2 linked regions of the Anolis sagrei genome follow. Each later gene encodes a partner of the first gene's protein in a complex. Links are inferred from orthologs where the notes say so. Each region holds a gene or a part of one and is shown on either strand. Other genes may lie near its edges.

Region 1 (9,325 bases):
AATTTCATAGTTAAAGTGGTGCCTAACTGCATTAATTCAACAGTGTAGATGCACCACAAGATGACCGTCTTAATATAGTACTATTGATTGATGGCATGCAAGATGGAATTCATCCCAGGAGATCTGGCACCATTCCTCATGTGCTACTTATGCCTGATAGCTTGCAGTCGCCTGCAGCATTGCTCTTGTTGGGAGTTTGGGAACTCAGGTTGTATTAAACCACAGGCCTGTGCTGGGAGTGGTTACTAGAATAATACCTGCATTTCAGCTGAGAATGTACATTTCATCTACACAGGATGCCCTTGCATTTCCTGCTGGGTGACCTTGCATTTGGAATTGTCCCTGCCTGGACATGTGCTTCCCATGGGGACCACCTGGTTTTAAATCCTTGGATTATCTTGACCTGGCTTCTATAGCTATTCCTGAGTTGGTTTTGTCTGAAGTGAAAGAACAGTTCTGACATTTAGACAACTAAGAATTTCATCCTCAAATAAACACCAGACTTAAGTCTGTACTTAAATGTAAGCATCCAGTTTGCCTCACCTCATTTTTATTATAATCTTAAATAATTAGGATTTGAATTTTACTGCCATTTGTCCTCATTTTATCCTCCCTTCCTCTACTTGTGTTTGTGTGCATCTGTCTCTAGTCCACAAAGGTTTATATTAAAATAACACAGTGGTTCTATATACTCATGGCACTTAAATGTGGCAACAAGGCTTACTTTTACATATGTATGTCACAGGGAATTGGATAGATTCTCCAACTGTCCTAATCTAGCATGGACAATCCCAATTATCTGTCTCCCCTTTTCAGCTGCTTCTAAAACATCCTAGATTTTTTTATCTCATTCTGCTCTCCTCCTTTATCTTCAGCTTACTTTGATTGCTAAAAACTGAGTTTCAAATCCAAAAGTAGTTCACATTCAGTCAATTTACAGGGAAAAGAGAAGGAAGGGGAAGAATCTTGCCCTTCCCAGTGGATTCAGGCAAAAGCAAACCGCTGCAACCTTTGTCATCATAAACACACTGTGATGTTTCTCGGCCACATATGTCTTAGTTTTCATCTATGAAAAACTGGAGGATATGGAATTATAGTATTATTCTTAAAGGTATACAAGGGGCTTCTTGTTTTGTTGGACCAAACACAAATGGCCAACCTTCTGAAACATATTTAATTTCAAACATTTTTTCAGTTACTGGAGATAAAAAATATAGTTTCCACTAGAATAATGATTCCCAACCTTTGGTCCTCAAGGTTTTTTGGACTTCAGCTTCCACAGTTCCTAACAGCTGGTAAGCTGGCTGGGATATCTGAGAGTTGAAGTCCAAAACAAGTGAAGGACCAAAGGCTGGGAACTACTGCACTAGAAGAAATCTAGTGTTTATTGTTGTATTGATGTTTTGATGTTAATTAATTGATATTGCTGTTTTAATTGACTAATGATCTGTTTTGTACTGTTGAATTGGTTGTTAACCGCTCTGAGTCGCCTGAGGGCTGAGAAGAGCGGTATACAAGTGTATATTTGTTCATATTTGTTGTGAACCGCTGTGAGTCGCCTTCGGCCTGAGAACAGCGGTATATAAGTAAGGTAAATAAATAAATAAGTAAGTAAGTAAGTAAATAAATAAATAAATCTTCATTGAGAATGGACATTTGGCATACTTGCTTGAGAGCAAAAAGACTACTTTTCTGGTCTAGAAACCAGTGGCTCTAAGGCAGCGTTTCTCAACCTGGGGCTCGGGACCCCTGGGGGGATTGCGAGGGGGTGTCAGAGGGATCGCTAAAGACCATCAGAAAACACAGTATTTTCTGTTGGTTATGGGAGTTCTATGTGGGAATTTTGGCCCAATTCTATTGTTGGTGGGGTGCAGAATGCTCTTTGATTGTAGGTGAACTATAAATCCCAGCAACTACAACTCCCAAATGTCAAGGTCTATTTTCTCCAAACTCCACCAGTGTTCACATTTGGACATATTGAGTATTTGTGCCAAGTTTGGACCAGACCCATCATTGTTTGCATCCACACTGCTCTCTGGATTCAGGTGAACTACAACTCCAAAATTCAAGGTCAATATCCACCAAACCCTACCAGTATTTTCTGTTGGCAGTGAGAACTCCGTATGCCAAGTTTGGTTCAATTCCATCATTGGTAGTGTTCAGAATGCTCTTTTATTGTAGGTTAACTATAAATCCCAGCAACTATAACTCCCAAATGACAAAATCAATCCCTGCCAACCCCATCAATATCCAAATTTGAATGTATTGGGTATTTGTGCCAAATTTGGTCCAGTGAATGAAAATACATCCTGCATATCAGATATTTACATTACATTTCATAATAGTAGCAAAATTACAGTTATGAAGTAGCAATGAAAATAATTTTATGGTTGGGGGTCACCACAACATGAGGAACTGTATTAAGAGGTCACAGCATTAGGAAGGTTGAGAACCACTGCTCTGTCATTTAAGATAAGACTGTCCAGGGAATCCTGAAAGCTTTTCTCCATTTTATTTCATTATTCTTATTGAGGAGAATGAAGCCTTCCTTTCCACATTTTTGCAGCCTTTATAGTAAGGACTAGTATCCTGTGCATTGAACCCTTAGGAATGCAGTATAGTCTAGTTAGACCAGTTGATTGGTGAGATTCAGGCATTGCTTAAAATTGAAATACACACAAAAATACAAGTCATCTGTTTCAAGTAAGGCACACCTTTTCTTCTATTGCCTTCTCTACATTTCTTCACTGTATACCAGTTAATCAGTGCAGTACTTAAGAGCATGAGCTACAGGTTTCAAGTCTCTAATTCAAATTCAACAGTTACATTTGTAGGCAAATTTGTGAAAATCTTTTCCAGTTAATGGCCCAAATCCTTTTGTTTTTGTATTATGATTTGTTGTTCTGTGTTGTTTTGGTTGTTATTATTACAGGTATCGGGTATAATTCTTCAAGAGATCGATATACCATATATACTCGAGTATAAGTCGATTCAAATATAAGCCGAGACACCTAGTTTTACCAAAGAAAATTGGGGAAACGTATTGACTCGGTTATAAGCTGAGTCTGGGAAATGCAGCAGCTACTGGTAAATTTCAAAATAAAAATAGAGACCAATAAAATTACATTAATTGAGGCATCAGCAGGTTAAATGTTTTTGAATATTTACATAAAACTGTAATTTAAGATAAGACTGTCCAGCTCTGATTAAACCATTCTTCTTCTTAAATGTAAATGTGCTTATGTATCCTTCCAATAATAATAATATAAATAATAAATGTAATAAAAATAACAGTAATACAGTAAAATAATGGAAATGTAATAAAAACAGTAAAATACAGTAAAATAATAAATGTAATAATAATAATAGAATAAAATAAGAAATTCAATATAATAATAATAATAATAATAAAGAGTAAAATAACAACAACAGAGTAAAATCATAAATAACATTTACTCGAGTATAAGCCGAGGGGGGCTTTTTCAGCCTAAAAAAAGAGCTGAAATATCCAGCTTATACTTAAATATATACGGCAGTCTTGCTTGCTCTTATTTTTTTCTTGCTCTCTCTCTCTCTCAACAGGAAGGAAATACTCTTCTGCTATTATTCCTCTAGGCTCTCATTAAATAATTGGGAAATTATTGTTTTTATGGCTTAAGTTATTGTTTTATAATTATAACAGAATGCATTAAAATATTTATTGTAAACTGCCTTGGGAATATTTTTTCTAGATGTTCTTTCACTGTGAGAGTCTTCAAAAAGATGCACAGGTTGCCTGTCTGTGTTGGAAATCAATTCAAAATGCCGGCATTAACTTTTATAGTACGCGGGTGGGTCAAAACGTTTTGCCTCCCATGACATAAAAACATTATGAATGAACATATAATAGCAGAGGTTGCTACAGACCATAGCCTGAACTGTCCTCTACACAAAACGACCGTTCAACATAGTCACCATCCATTTTTACACATTTGTGCCATCGTTAACTTTGAACAGGAATCCCATTGTCATTCTCTGCATCAATAGCAACCTCATCATTAGAACCTCATTGTCATTCCCAACATCCAGACTACCCTGATCATTAGACACAATCACAGGCTGAACTCCAACAGTAATAGGCAGTAAGAGCACCTAAAGCTTCGGAGAGCTTCTGTTCAACCATTACAAAGCTCCTTTCTTGGGTGGTGATGGCACAATCATCAGCATAGATTAAACTCTGTTCCATCTGGCAGTGGCTGATCATTTGTGTAAATGTTAAACACTGATGGAACAAGCACGCTTTCAAGGCAGGCCATTCTTCTGTTTTCACTACCTGCTTCTTTGCCTGAAGGGGAAAAAGGAAGGGTCCTGAGCAGGCCTGTAGCCAGGATTTCGATTGGGGGGGGGGGGGGGGGCTGAGTTTTTTTCAAGGGGGAGGGGTTCGGGGGGGCTGAGTCTGACTGAAAGAGGGTCTATTCTAGCAAACCTTTTGTATCATTACCCCAATACCCCCCCCCCCCCATGCATGTGGGATATATTGAGCATGGTGATCAGATCATTATATGAATAAACATAACAGTTTAAATAATGCACCAGTAAGGCCTTTTCGCGAACCACCATGAGCATTTCGGAGGGGGGGGGGGGGCTGAAGCCCCTCAAGCCCCCCCCCCCCCCCCGGCCCGGCTACATGCCTGGTCCTGAGACGGCTGATAGGAATGGTGGGAGTTGAAGTCCAAAACACCTGGAGAGCCGAAGTTTGTCCATGCCTGGTGTAGCTGCACCCTGAGTTAGTGCTTGGCTATGGGAAGCCACACAACAACAGCCATAGAGCAAAAATAACTTGTGTGCTTTGGACTTGTAGGTTGATGCTTCAGACTGTGTGTTCAGACTCTTTATCTACGATTACTGGCTCTAATGATGAGGAAACCTTGTTGTGCCTGATAAGAGAGAGCAGGCCGAAAGCCCGGGCTGGCCAAAGGAGCAATCCGAAGGGCGAGGCGGTTCGGCTCTGTCCCAAAGTTTTGAGTGATAGATGGGCTTTTAAGCTCTCTCCAAACAAGAGGCAACGGAACCTCCCCTAAAAGGGCTCCGGGAGTTTGCCTAAGTCTCAAGCGTGTCTTGGCAAACAAGGAGCCTGGTGCCCAGCCCGCCTTTGGGGGTGTCCTCCTGGCCCTTCCACTCCTCCCTCCGGCCCACGAAACCCGGCGGGCCCCAGGAATGCGGGGCTGGGTGGGAGTTTCTCTCTGCAGGAAGAGGAGGGACTTGGGTGGCTCCGCAGCTGGCCTGGGCACTGGAGGGGAGCGACGGGGGGCTCCGTCGGAAAAGCTGCCTCACCGCCGCTGCCCTCCTCCTCCTCCTCCTCCGCCTCTCCCTTTGGCACCCTAAGCAGGCCCAGAAGAAGGAGCACACGCAGCCACCATGTCGCAGCCCACGAAGGGAAAGAAACACGCCGCCAAGGCTGGCAAGACGGTGAGTGCGAGCGGGGAGGGACGGGGCTCTCCGCGGCTCCTCTTGCGGGGATTTGAAGGCTTTTGTGCCTGTGTCAGAGGCAGAGATCTGCCCACTCGCTGGGCTGGGCTGGGACGGGCAGCGCTCCAAGGCAGAGAACTTGAGTGCGCCTGCACTGCTCAGTTAATGCGCTTCGATACCACTTGAGCTGCCCTGGCTCAGTGCTGTAGGATCGTGGCAGTTGTCTTCCTCTTTTCCCTTCTTCCTCCCTAAACTGCAGGGTGGGCCAAAAGTCCCCAAAGTTAGGTAACTTTTTGAAAACGTTTTCCTGAAAGTTAAATGTCTTAATGCCTAATTATTTCCTATCCATACAATACATTGGGATTGTAAATCTAAAGCAATACATTATTATTATTATTATTATTATTATTATTATTATTCATTTCCAGTATTTCTATCCAGTCTTTTCTCAACTCAGGGCGGCTTACACCGGCAACGATTCAATGCCGCAACAAACAAACAATATAAAGAATTATAACAATAATTTAAAAACCATAAATTGAATTAAAAACAATATAAGCAAGATTGTCAAACCATATAGTCATTAAATAAATAAATAAAGCTGTTACTGAATATTGACATTGCATAACATTGAGTCCTGGCAATTCAAGTAGTGTCAAACTGATTCTACAGCAGGCATGGGCAAACTTCGGCCCTCCGGGTGTTTTGGACTTCAACTCCCACAATTCCAACAGCGTATCAGCTGTTAGGAATTGTGGGAGTTGAAGTCCAAAACACCCAGAGGGCCGAAGTTTGCCCACGCCTGTTTTACAGTGTAATAAATGCATCCCTAAATGCATGTTATAGGTCAGTGGTTCTCAACCTTCCTAATGCCCTGAACTCTTAATACAGTTCCTCATGTTGTGGCGACTCCCAACCATAAAATTATTTTCATTGCTACTTCATAACTGTAATTTTGCTACTGTTATGAATCGTAATGTAAATATCTGATATGCAGGATATTCACTGAACAAAATTTGGCATAAATACCCGATACGCCCAAATTTGAATACCGGTGTGGTTGGAAAGGGATTGGTTTTGTCATTTGGGAGTTATAGTTGCTGGGATTTATAATTCACCTACAATCAAAGAGCATTTTGAACTCCACCAATGATGACATTGAACCAAACTTGGCACACAGAACTCCCATGACTGACAAAAAATACTGGAAGGGTTTGGTGGGCACCTATTGAAGTTGTAGTTTATCTACATGCAGAGAGCACTGTGGACTCAAGCAATGATGGCTCTGGACCAAACATAGCAAAAATACTCAATATGCACAAATGTGAACACTGGTGCAGTTTGGGGAAAACAGACCTGGACATTTGGGAGTTGTAGTTGCTGGGATTTATAGTTCACCTACAATCAAAGAGCCTCTTGAACCCCACCAATGATAGAATTGGGCCAAACTTCCCACACAGAACTCCCATGACCAACAGAAACTACTGTTTTCCTATGGTCCCCTTTGATACCCCTTCACAACCCCCCAGGGGTCCCAACCCCCCAGCTTGATAAATGCTGTTATAGGTGGTAAATGCATGTTATAGGTGGGTTTGGGGATGTACAGGGCTCTGCATTGTGGAATCTCTCATCTCCTACAATCCTGCACCTAAAGATGTGGGAATGGGGCCCTGTGTCATGTCTATCCATGCCAGATTGAATGTGGAAAGGATGAGGTGACAGACTTCAGGCCCCTCCAGATATTTTGAATGTCCTCTGAACCAAATCCACTGCCTGGATAAAAATTCGCAGATTCCAAAGTTTTGTCCTCCTGGTGCCTTGGACTCCCAAATTCCTGATAATCTTCCAACTGGGCTGGAGCTTCTGGGAGTCCACATTTATTTTTTTAATTATTGTGTCAGAAGCAAATAGAGAATATACTTCAAGTCACTTCTGGTGTGAGAGAATTGACTGTCTGCATGGACGTTGCCCAGGGGACAGCCGGATGTGTTACCATCCTGTGGGAGACTTCTCTCATGTCCCCAGATGGGAAGCTGGGGCTGACAGATTGAAGCTCACTCCATCTCGTGGATTCAAACCACCAACCTTCAGGTCAGCAGTTTGACCCATTGCACCACAGCGGCTCCTTGATGTCCACATCTATGATGACCGTTTAATGCAGTTTGAAGGCAGCTGGATAGTACAGTGTTTATGGTGCATGCCTTGCAGCTCACTTCAAGGGCTTTAAATCAAGGATGCATCTATATCAGGCATGGGCAAACTTGGGCCCTCCAGGTGTTTTGGACTTCAACTCCCACAATTCCTAACAGCCAAGTGGCTGTTAGGAATTGTGGGAGTTGAAGTCCAAAACACCTGGAGGGCCCAAGTTTGCCCATGCTAGATTTGTACAATGAATGCCGTTTGGCTCCACTTGAACTGCTGTTATTCAATGCTGTGGAGTGGTCACTTAGGGAGGCGCTAGCATTCTTGAACCAAGAAAACTATAATTGCCCAGACTGAGCTATGGCTGTTAAAGATGTGTCAAACCGCATTCAATCTACAATGTACAAGATTGCACATACGTAGATGCACCCTGAGATAAGGAAAGTCAGAGCATACTCCGAAATAGAGCCCTTAACACACTTCAGCATGCCTGAGTGTACATCGCATTGCATGGCGAAACCGATTGAGGGCTCTGTCAGTCAGCACAGATTGGCAGAGCCCTCCGCAGTTGTGAAGTCATAGATCTTGTGGATCTTTAACTGGTTCGAGGTCAGCCTCTGCATTGCATATGTGTATAAGCACCATCCAGGCTTAAAAGCTGGACTTCATATGTCGTCATCTGGAAATTGGAACCACTTCCTTCTCGGCTGGTTTCACAGTGGCCTAAGTGGTCAGTGTGGGTGTGCCACCAAGTATCTGGAAGATGAGGCTAGAATAGATCTGATGGGACTCAGTGTCCAAAAAACAAACAGCCCAACAACTGGACAGCTACAAATGTCCTATATTTGTTTGTGTTTTTCTTAAACTCTCATTCGATCTATCTAGTCTGGCCACTGGTAAGTGGATCTGTAGATGAACGTAATGAAATGGGAAAAAAGAACATGGTAGTTCCCACCTTCCTTTTAAGGACTATAGGTGATGATTACTATATGTATATCCAGATCACAGTGAGGTCTTCTACACATTGCTGGGCTTGCTGTTGTATTCCTTGGTCATTTCCAATTTATTATAATTTGATACACAAGATTAGTACACAGCAAACAAGATCGCTATGCTGGCTTTTATATTCGATCACACATTGGACACTTCTCCAGTGTCTAGGGAGGAGCCTTTAACAGCCGCACTAAACTACAAACCCCAAAATTCTGCAGGAGGCCGAAACCGGATTTAAAGTGGATTCATTCTCTAGCTTGATGAAGTAGTAGGATGGCAAATAATGCGTGCAGATCCAAGAAGGGTGGCCTTTTGCAGCTGACAGATTGTAATTTTGTTAGCGCTGATTGTTTTTAAGTGCAGGCCAAGGTCTTTAGGCACTGCACCCAGTGTGCCGATCACCACTGGGACCACTTTTACAGGCTTGTGCCAGAGTTTTTGCATATTGCTGGGTTTGTTGTTGCATTCCTTTAAGTCATTTCCTACTTATTATTATTATTTATTCATTTTTATCCCACTTTTCTCCCATGGGTGGGGACTCAACGCGGCTTATGGTCTATCTATCACATGGTTTTCTTGGCAAGATTTGTTCAGAGAAGGTTTGCCTTTGCCTTCTTCTGAGTCTGAGAGTGTGTCACTTGACCAAGGTCACCCAGTGGTTTTCTAGAGCCAAGTGAGCATTCGAACATTCATGTCCCAGTGTTCTAGTCCAACACCAGCACCATTCCACCATGCTGTTTCT
Region 2 (9,855 bases), on another chromosome or scaffold:
CAACAAAGATCCGCCTAGTCAAAGCCATGGTATTCCCTGTAGTCACCTACGGATGTGAGAGCTGGACCTTCGGGAAGGCTGAGCGAAGGAAGATCGATGCTTTTGAGCTGTGGTGCTGGAGGAAAGTGCTGAGAGTGCCTTGGACTGCGAGAAGATCCAACCAGTCCATCCTCCAGGAAATAAAGCCCGACTGCTCACTGGAGGGAAAGATACTGGAGACAAAGTTGAAGTACTTTGGCCACATCATGAGGAGACAGGAAAGCCTAGAGAAGACAATTATGCTGGGGAAAGTGGAAGGCAAAAGGAAGAGGGGGCGACCAAGGGCAAGATGGATGGATGGCATCCTTGAAGTGACTGGACTGACCTTGAGGGAGCTGGGGGTGGTAACGGCCGACAGGGAGCTCTGGCGTAGGCTGGTCCATGAGGTCACGAAGAGTCGGAGACGACTGAACGAATGAACAACAACAATTATACTCTATTATATTTTAAGAAATATTATAAATAATATCTAATATATTATTAGTATAACATGATATTAGTATTCTATATTATACTGTATTATATTTTAAGTAATATTATAAATAATATCTAATATATTATTAGTATAGCATGATATTAGCATTATATATTATACTATATTATACAATATATTTTTAGTACAGCATAATATTAGTATTTTATATTATACTATATTGTAAGTAGTATTATAGATAATATCTAATACATTTTTAGTATAGCATAATATTAGTATTATATATTATACTGTATTATATTTTAAGTAATATTATAAATAATATGTAATATATTATTAGTATAACATGATATTACTATTATATATTATACTGTATTATACAATATATTTTAGTACAGCATAATATTAGTATTAAATATTATACTGTATTATTTTATAAGTAGTATTATAGATAATATCTAATACATTATTACTCTATTTATCACTATTTATTATTTACAGCATTTATATTCCGTAACGTTAGTATATAATATTATATTATATACTAATGTAATATTGGTATATTATATATAATACTATTATGTTATAAAATATAATCTATTATATAATATATACAATATATTCCATAATATTAGTATAATATTCCATAATATCAGTATAGCACAATATTAGTATTATCTATTATACAGTATTATATTATTAGTACTATAAATAATATCTAATATATTATTAGTATAGCATAATATTAGTATTATACATTATACTGTATTATAAGTAATATTATAAATAATATCTAATATATTATTAGTATAACATGATATTAATATTATATATTATACCGTATTATTTTATAGGTAGTATTATAGCTAATATCTAATATATTATTAGTATTGTTGTTGTTGTTCATTCGTTCAGTCGTCTCCGACTCTTCGTGACCTCATGGACCAGTCCATGCCAGAGCTCCCTGTCGGCCGTCACCACCCGCAGCCCCTTCCAGGTCAGTCCAGTCACTTCAAGGATGCCATCCATCCATCTTGCCCTTGGTTGGCCCCTCTTCCTTTTGCCTTCCACTTTCCCCAGCATCATTCCCTTCTCTAGGCTTGGCTGTCTCCTCATGATGTGGCCAAAGGACTTCCACTTTGTCTCTCGTCTCCTTCCCTCCAGTGAGCAGCCGGGCTTTCTTTCCTGGAGGATGGACTGGTTGGATCTTCTCGCAGTCCAAGGCACTCTCAGCACTTTCCTCCATCACCACAGCTCAAAAGCATCTCTCGTCCTTCGCTCAGCCTTCCCTCAGGTCCAGCTCTCACCTCCATAGGTGACTACAGGGAAGACCATGGCTTGGACTAGGCAATGGATCTTGGTTGCCAGTCTGATGTCTCTACTCTTGACTATTTTATCGAGATTGGACATTGCTCTCCTTCCCAAGAAGGAAGCATCTCCTGATTTCCTGGCCACAGTCTGCATCTGCACTCATCTTTGCGCCTAGAATATTATTAGTATAGCATAATATTAGTATTATATATTACACTGTATTATATTATAAGTAGTGTTATAGATAATATCTAATACATTATTAGTATAGCATAATATTAGTATTATATATTTTACTGTTTTATATTATAAGTAGTATTATAAATAATATCTACTATATTATTAGTATAACATGATATTAGTATTATATATTATACTGTATTATAAGTAGTATTATAAATATCTAAGATATTATTAGTAAAACATAATTTTAATATTGTATGTTATACTGTATTATATTATAAGTAGTTTTATAGATAATATCTAATATATTATTAGTATACCATAATATTAGTATTATACATTATACTGTATTATAAGTAATATTATGAATAATATCTAATATATTATTAGTATAACATGATATTAATATTATAGATTATACTGTATTATAAGTAGTGTTATAAATATCTAAAATACTATTAGTAAAACATAATTTTAGTATTGTATATTATACTGTATTATATTATATTATAGATAATATGTAACATTAGTATAGCATAACATTAGTATTACATATTATTGCGTTATATTATTACATTGCAATATTATTAGTAATATTATATCTATTAGTATTATATCGCAATGTTATTCTTTCTATATGTTATATTATGTTGCAATATTATTACATTGCAATATTATTAGTAACATTATATCTATTCGTATTATTACATTACAATGTTATTCTTTCTATATATTATTATATTAGGTTGCAATATTATTAATATTGTATAGCATGTATAATATATTATTATATAATATTATTATTATATATTATGTATATGGATTTGAGGCTTCTCTACCAAAGAATCCCAGGATTCTATGGAACGGAGGCATTGGAAGTTAAACCGGATTCAATCTGCATCAATTCCACAGTGTAGATGCACACACCTCCTGGAGTCATATTTCCTGCAATTGGGTGTGCCTTCCCCTTTCCTTTCTCTGGGGCCTTGACACAGAAGCATTCCTTTGATCTGAATCAGACTGGCCTGGGATTTTTTCTCGGCCTCTGGAGCTGAAGATCCTTTTCATCCCAAACTGGCAAAGCAGGTTCAAAACCAGGAAGAGCTGCAAGAAATATATATATATTTGCAGAAGATCAATGGAGCAAGACCTTTCTCCGCCTTAGATAAACTATGGGGAACAGAGGCTGGGGCCCCTTCTACACTGCCATATACAATGCAGAGTATCTGCATTGAACTGGAGTATTCGGCAGTGTAGACTAGACATGGGCCAATTTATGCCCTCCAGGAGTTTTGGACTTCAACTCTCCATTCCTATTGTAGAACTACAACTCCCAGGATTCAATACTATTGAGCCCTGGGAGTTGAAATAATATATAATTACTAGCTGTCCCCTGCCACGTGTTGCTGTGGCCCAGTCTGTGTATATGTGTTTGTATGTGTATTTATTTGTGTATATGTGTATATATGTGGTTTTGTGCATGCATTGTAATGTATTTCTTACTTTTTGGTTTTTTAAGTCCCTTCTATTGTGTTTTTCAGTGTTTTTATGAGTGATGGTCACTCGTTGGCCTGAGAGGTGTCATGTGTCCAAATTTGGTGTCAAATCATCCAGTGGTTTTTGAGTTACATTAATCCCACAAACAATCATTACATTTTTATTTATATAGATGCCCCCCCCTCTATATATAGAGAGAGGGGGGGGGGCATCTATATAAATATACACACTTTATTTATGTATTTATTTACAGCTTTTATATTCCGCCCTCCTCACCCCGCAGGGGACTCAGGGTGGATTACAGTGTACACATATATGGCAAACATTCAATGCCAATTTTTGACATACAAACATATACAGACATACACAGAGGCTATTTAACTTTTTCTGGCCGCCAGGGAGCTGTCGCTTTCCTCGTCCATCTGCGACGCTGATGAAGCACTTCCGCATTCCCCGCATGTTTCCCCGCTGGAATGCTTTGCTGGAGTCTTCTTTATGGCCTCATAAATCAGTTAATTTAGCCTCCCCACACTTTTAAGGTGGTACCTTATTTTCCTACTTGACAGATGCAACTGTCTTTCGGGTTGCAAAGGTCGACAACAGGCTACACACAATTTGTTGGAAACCCACTCCAACCCGGGCTGGCTTCGAACTCATGACCTTTTGGTCAGAGTGATCTTAATGCAGCTGACACTCAGCCAGCTGCGCCACAATAAAAAAAAAGTTAAATAGCCTCTGTATATGTTCGTATGTCAAAAATTGTCATTGAATGTTTGCCCTATATGTGTACCCTGTAATCCGCCCTGAGTCCCCTGCGGGGTGAGAAGGGCGGAATATAAAAGCTGTAAATAAATTAAATAAATAGTTTTCTCAAGTTTGCTCCAAAGTCTATCTATTTATCTATCTATCTATCTATATTGTGTATGTGTGTGTGTGTATTATATATGTGTGTGTGTGTGTGTATGTGCGTATATTATCTATATAAATGTGTGGGAGTTGAAGTCCAAAACTCCTGGAGAGCCCCAGTTTGTCCATTCCTGTTGTAGAACTACAGCTCCCAGGATTCAATACTATTGAGCCCTGTGATTTGAAATAATATATAATTACTAGCTGTCCCTTGCCACGTGTTGCTGTGGCCCAGTCTGTGTATATGTGTTTTCTGTGTGTATACACATTTTACATATATTATATGTGTGTATGTGTGTATACACATATGCATTTTATTGTTTGCACGGCTCTCCTAACAGCATGAAGCCAAAACATAAAATGCATACAATCCAATGCATAGATCGAACACACGACATCAGAAACAGGGTACGAATATCAATGTATAGAGTTGCAATGCAATGCAGATTCAAAACTCATGATGGGTATCATTGGTACCAAAAACAAAACAAAACCGGCATCAAACTGCATTAATTCTGCAGTGGAGACAGGCTTTGGATTCTGAGGCCTGTTTCCTTTAACTTCAATAGAGATAGGGATCTATTCAAATGTGCATTCTTTGTCCTCTTCCTTTCTCTCTCTCTGCTGAATCATAGCTGGCATCCCCCCCCCCCCCCAGTATTCATTTATGCAAATGATGCAGAGCGTAAATAAGGGAAGGAATTGAGAATTGGAAGAACAAACGGTGCATCTATCAACAGGGTTGAGGAACTGCCAGGGCTCAATGCGAGGGCATCTCTGGAAGTTGCACTTTGCAATCGTTGGCGGAGAAGGTGAACAGCCTTGTCAAACTACAACTCTCAGGGAATGCCGTGACAGTCAAACTACAACTCCCAGGGGTGCCATAAATGTCAAACTATAACTTCGAGGGATACCATAACAAACTAAAACTCCCAGATAAACCATAACACTGAAACAACAACTCCTGGAATGCCGTAACACTCAAACTACAACTCCCGGGATGCCATAAGAATCGAACTACAACTCCCAGGGATGCCATAACAAGCTACAACTCTCAAGGATAACATAACACTAAAACTACAACTCCCGGGATGCCATAACAGTCTAACTACATCTCTCGGGGACACCATAATAGTCAAGGACAACTCCCATGATGCCACAAATGCCAAACCATAACACTTAGGATACCTTAACAGTCAAACGATAACTTTTGGGATGCCATAATAATCACACTACAACTCAGGGATGTCATAAATGCCAAACTACAACTCTTAGGGATGCCATAACAGTCAAACTACATCTCCCAGGGATATCATAAATGCCAAACTACAACTCCTAGGGATGCCATAACAAGCAACAACGCCCAGGGATGCCGTAACAGTCAAACTACAAATCCCAGAAAGTCAAACTCCAACTCCCAGGGATGCCCTAACAGCCAAACTACAAATCCCAGAAAGTCAAACTACAACTCCCAGGGATGCCCTAACAGCCAAACTACAAATCCCAGAAAGCCAACCTCCAACTCCCAGGGATGCCCTAACAGTCAAACTGCAAATCCCAGAAAGTCAAACTACAACTCCCAGGGATGCCCTAAGAGTCAAAGGAATGATAACCGGCGGGCGCTAGGACCGCGCGGGAGCCTGGGGAAGGCTTCCCCTCTGCATTGCCTGCCTGCCTTCCTCTCGGGCGTGGTGGATCCCGCAGCAGTCGATTCCTCGGAAAGGAAGCCAGCCTGCCTGCCCGGAAAGGAAGAAGCAGCAACCAAGAGCCGCTCGGAATCGGGTAAGCGGGGGAAAGGGAAAGATCCCACACCCTTAACCACATTTTCCCTCTCCTCCAGTTGGGATCCATAGATCTCCTAAGGGATCCCCTCCCATGAGAGTAGAAGGAAGGAATCCACTTCCTCTGCTGGGCCCAATTCGAGTCTCCCTTCCCTTATTTTTTTTAAGAGATCATGGGATCTTATTCCTTCCCTTTTATGATTATTTTCATATATATTTTAAAATATAGGGATCCCATTGGGATCCTTTTTTCCCATCCACTTTGGGGCCTCTTGGTGGGATCTTTATTCTCTCCGCCCCCCCTCCCCACACGTTGCTACTTTCCGCTATAAAACTCCGTGCCAAGTTCCTAAGAGATCTTTTCCTCCCTTTTCGCTCAAGATCTAGTGGATCCCACTGGATCCCTTATTCTCTTCCCCCCTCCCCGTTGCTACTTTCCGCTATAAAACTCCATGCCAAGTTCCTAAGAGATCTTTTCCTCCCCTTTCGCTCAAGATCTAGTGGATCCCACTGGATCCCTTATTCTCTTCCCCCCTCCCCGTTGCTACTTTCCACCATAAAACTCCGTGCCAAGTTTCTAAGAGATCTTTTCCTCCCTTTTCACTCAAGATATAGTGGATCCACTGGATCCCTTATTCTCTTCCCCCCTCCCCGTTGCTACTTTCCGCTATAAAACTCCGTGCCAAGTTCCTAAGAGATCTTTTCCTCCCTTTTCGCTCAAGGTCTAGTGGATCCACTGGATCCCCACACGGGGGGGGGGGGTGGTGTCTACTGGATCAAACTTTCAAGAGAGATCTCTGTTCCCCCTCTACTGGTGCCTCCCTTTCACTCCAACTCTTCTGTACCCATATGGGATCAACTGGATCTCCGTGGGTCAACTGGATCCAGTTCCTTTTTTCTAATGGCCAACTGTGTATACCACCCTGAGTCGCCTTCGGGCTGAAATGGGCGGGATAGAAATAATGTAAATAAATAAATAATGAAGCCGGATCTACTGAACCAAGTTTCAAAGAGATCCTCGTACCCCTCTGCTGGTTCCTCCTATTTCGCTCCAGACCTACTGGATCTATATGATCCACAGGATTTCTATTGGGGGGGGGGGTCCACAGCATCCAGTTCTTCTTTTCAATGAAACCCACAGATCAAGTTTCAAAGAGATGTTGCCCCCTTTTGCTCCAGATCCACAGGATCTCAGCAAGATCCACATGATCTTCATGGGATCCACTTCATCTCCATAGGTCAGCTGGATCGAATTCTTTTTTCAATGAAGCCAGAGCTACTGGATCAAGTTTCAAAGATATATTTGCCCCCCTCTACTGGCGCCTCCTTTTTTTTGCCACAGACCTACTTGATCCATATGGGATCTTCTGGATCTCCACGTGGTCCATTGGATCCATTTTAATGAAAACCATGGATCTACTGGAGCAAGTTTCAAAGAGATGTTTTCCCTTCCTTTGCTCCAGCTCCACTGGATCTCCCTGTGATCCACTGGATCTCCACAGGATCAACTGTATACCGTTCTTCTTCTAAGGGATTGCCCTCATGTATTTTTTCCACTGCTTCCGCTCCTCCCTTCCCTTCTGCTTCCTCTTCCTGGATCTTTTTTGATATAACACGCCCATTGAGAGAGATCTTAAAGGGGGCATCTACACTGTAGAGCTAATGCGGTTTTGGCACCGCTTGGGCTGCCATGATTCAAGGCTATGGAATCCAGGGAGTTGTCATTTTGGAATTATTATTGATAGAATTATAATTGTGATCAATAGAATCATTACTAGAATTATTATTATTATTAGCATTATTATTACTCTATTAATAGAATATTATTAGAATTATTATTAATTAATAGAGTTATTACTACCTATACCCAGCTTTCTCTCTCCATTTCGCTGCCTCACCAAACTACAACTCCCAAGATGACATAGCATTACTACATTATGACTTTGGATCACCATAAGCAGGATCTACACATTGCAGAATCGATGCAGATTCATATCCCTTGAATGACCATGAATCAATGCTATGGATCCCTGGGATTTGCAATTTGCACCGTTCTGCAGAAAGGCTCCAGAGGCCTTGCAAAACGACAACTCCCAGGAATCCAGAGCAGTGAGTCAGGGCAGCTCGAGTGGTATCAAACTGCAGTGAGTCCCCCTGGTGAGATAGGACGGAATATAAATAAAGTTTTATTATTGTTGTTGTTGTTGTCCAGTGTGGATGGCTCCTTGGCAGAAAATCCTACAGAGAAAAAACTGCAGATCCCAGTTTTTTCTGCAAAGTTGCCATATAATTTTGGAACGAGGAACTAGCCAAACAGAGAGGAATCTGTTGCCAATAAAAAGCAATTAGGGAATTGCAAGCATCTTACTTCCAAATGCCAAAACCCCCTTTGGGGTAGAATAAAGGGTGCATTTACACTGGTTTCTAATTACGCTTGTTTTTTTCCCAATCGCTAATTAATGCCAGCTTATTATTATTATTATTATTATTATCCCCTTTCCCCCCCTCCCAACCGACTAAACCACCTGTTCCTATTCATTCCTAGTTTTCTGCTTCGATGAACATGTTCCAAAGTAAAGCTCAATGCAAACTGTGTGCAAACAGTTGTGTTTTCTTTGTGTGTGGGAGAGACATTCATTGTAATTACACTGAACGATTTCCTTGTCTTGCAACACTTGTGCTTTGAACACGAGACTCTGAAATTTCACTTATGAGATCCATTTTTATTATTAATAATATTATACTATATATTATTATTATACTGACACCACAGTATGTCACAGTAATATTATTATTATTATTATTATTTATATTACACTATATATTATTATTTATTAGTAGCTTGGGCACAAAATGTATAAGGTTATTATTATTATTATTATTATTATTACACTGACACCACAGTATGTCACAGTAAATGAGATCTATATGCTGGATTTTGTATATTATTATTATTATTATTATTATTTATATTATTATTATTATTAATATTATTATACTATATATTATTATTATTCTGACACCACAATATGTCACATTAAATGAGATCTATATGCTGGATTTTGTATATTATTATTATTATTATTATTATTTATATTATTATTATTATTAATATTATTATACTATATATTATTATTATACTGACACCACAGTATGTCACAATAAACTAGATCTATATGCTGGATTTTGTATATTATTATTATTATTTATATTATTATTATTAATATTATTATACTATATATTATTATTATACTGACACCACAGTATGTCACAATAAACTAGATCTATATGCTGGATTTTGTATATTATTATTATTATTTATATTATTATTATTATTAATATTATTATACTATATATTATTATTATACTGACACCACAGTATGTCACAATAAACTAGATCTATATGCTGGATTTTGTATATTATTATTATTATTTATATTATTATTATTAATATTATTATACTATATATTATTATTATACTGACACCACAGTATGTCACAGTAAATGAGATCTATATGCTGGATTTTTTATATTATTTTTATTATTATTATTATTATTGTTATACTATGTATTATCATTTATATTATTATTAATATTATTATTCATATATTATTATTTATTAGTAGCTTGGGTACAAAATGCATAATGTTATTATTATTATTATTATTTTACTAACACCACAGTATGTCACAGTAAACGAGATCT

The links.
Region 2: the proteins of CAST (region 1) and calpain small subunit 1 are in contact, whole or in part, in a crystal structure (PDB 3BOW), measured with the Rattus norvegicus proteins. The link is inferred for Anolis sagrei from reciprocal best matches to the Homo sapiens genes CAST and CAPNS1. Residues at the interface, in NP_445747.2 of Rattus norvegicus: Pro652, Ile653, Asp654, Ala655, Leu656, Ser657, Asp659, Leu660, Asp661; in NP_058814.1 of Rattus norvegicus: Phe103, Leu106, Gln109, Leu110, Ile125, Lys128, Val129, Arg132, His133, Leu136, Phe166, Trp170, Lys174, Gln177, Lys181.

What each region holds. Positions count from the first base shown.
Region 1 is NC_090022.1:252,935,104-252,944,428, reverse strand, and holds the start of CAST (calpastatin), read left to right. Parts: upstream 1-5,113; 5' UTR 5,114-5,397; coding exon 5,398-5,448; intron 5,449-9,325.
Region 2 is NC_090035.1:78,029,188-78,039,042, forward strand, and holds the start of calpain small subunit 1, read left to right. Parts: upstream 1-6,023; 5' UTR 6,024-6,151; intron 6,152-9,855. UniProt on the Homo sapiens protein: Regulatory subunit of the calcium-regulated non-lysosomal thiol-protease which catalyzes limited proteolysis of substrates involved in cytoskeletal remodeling and signal transduction. Essential for embryonic development.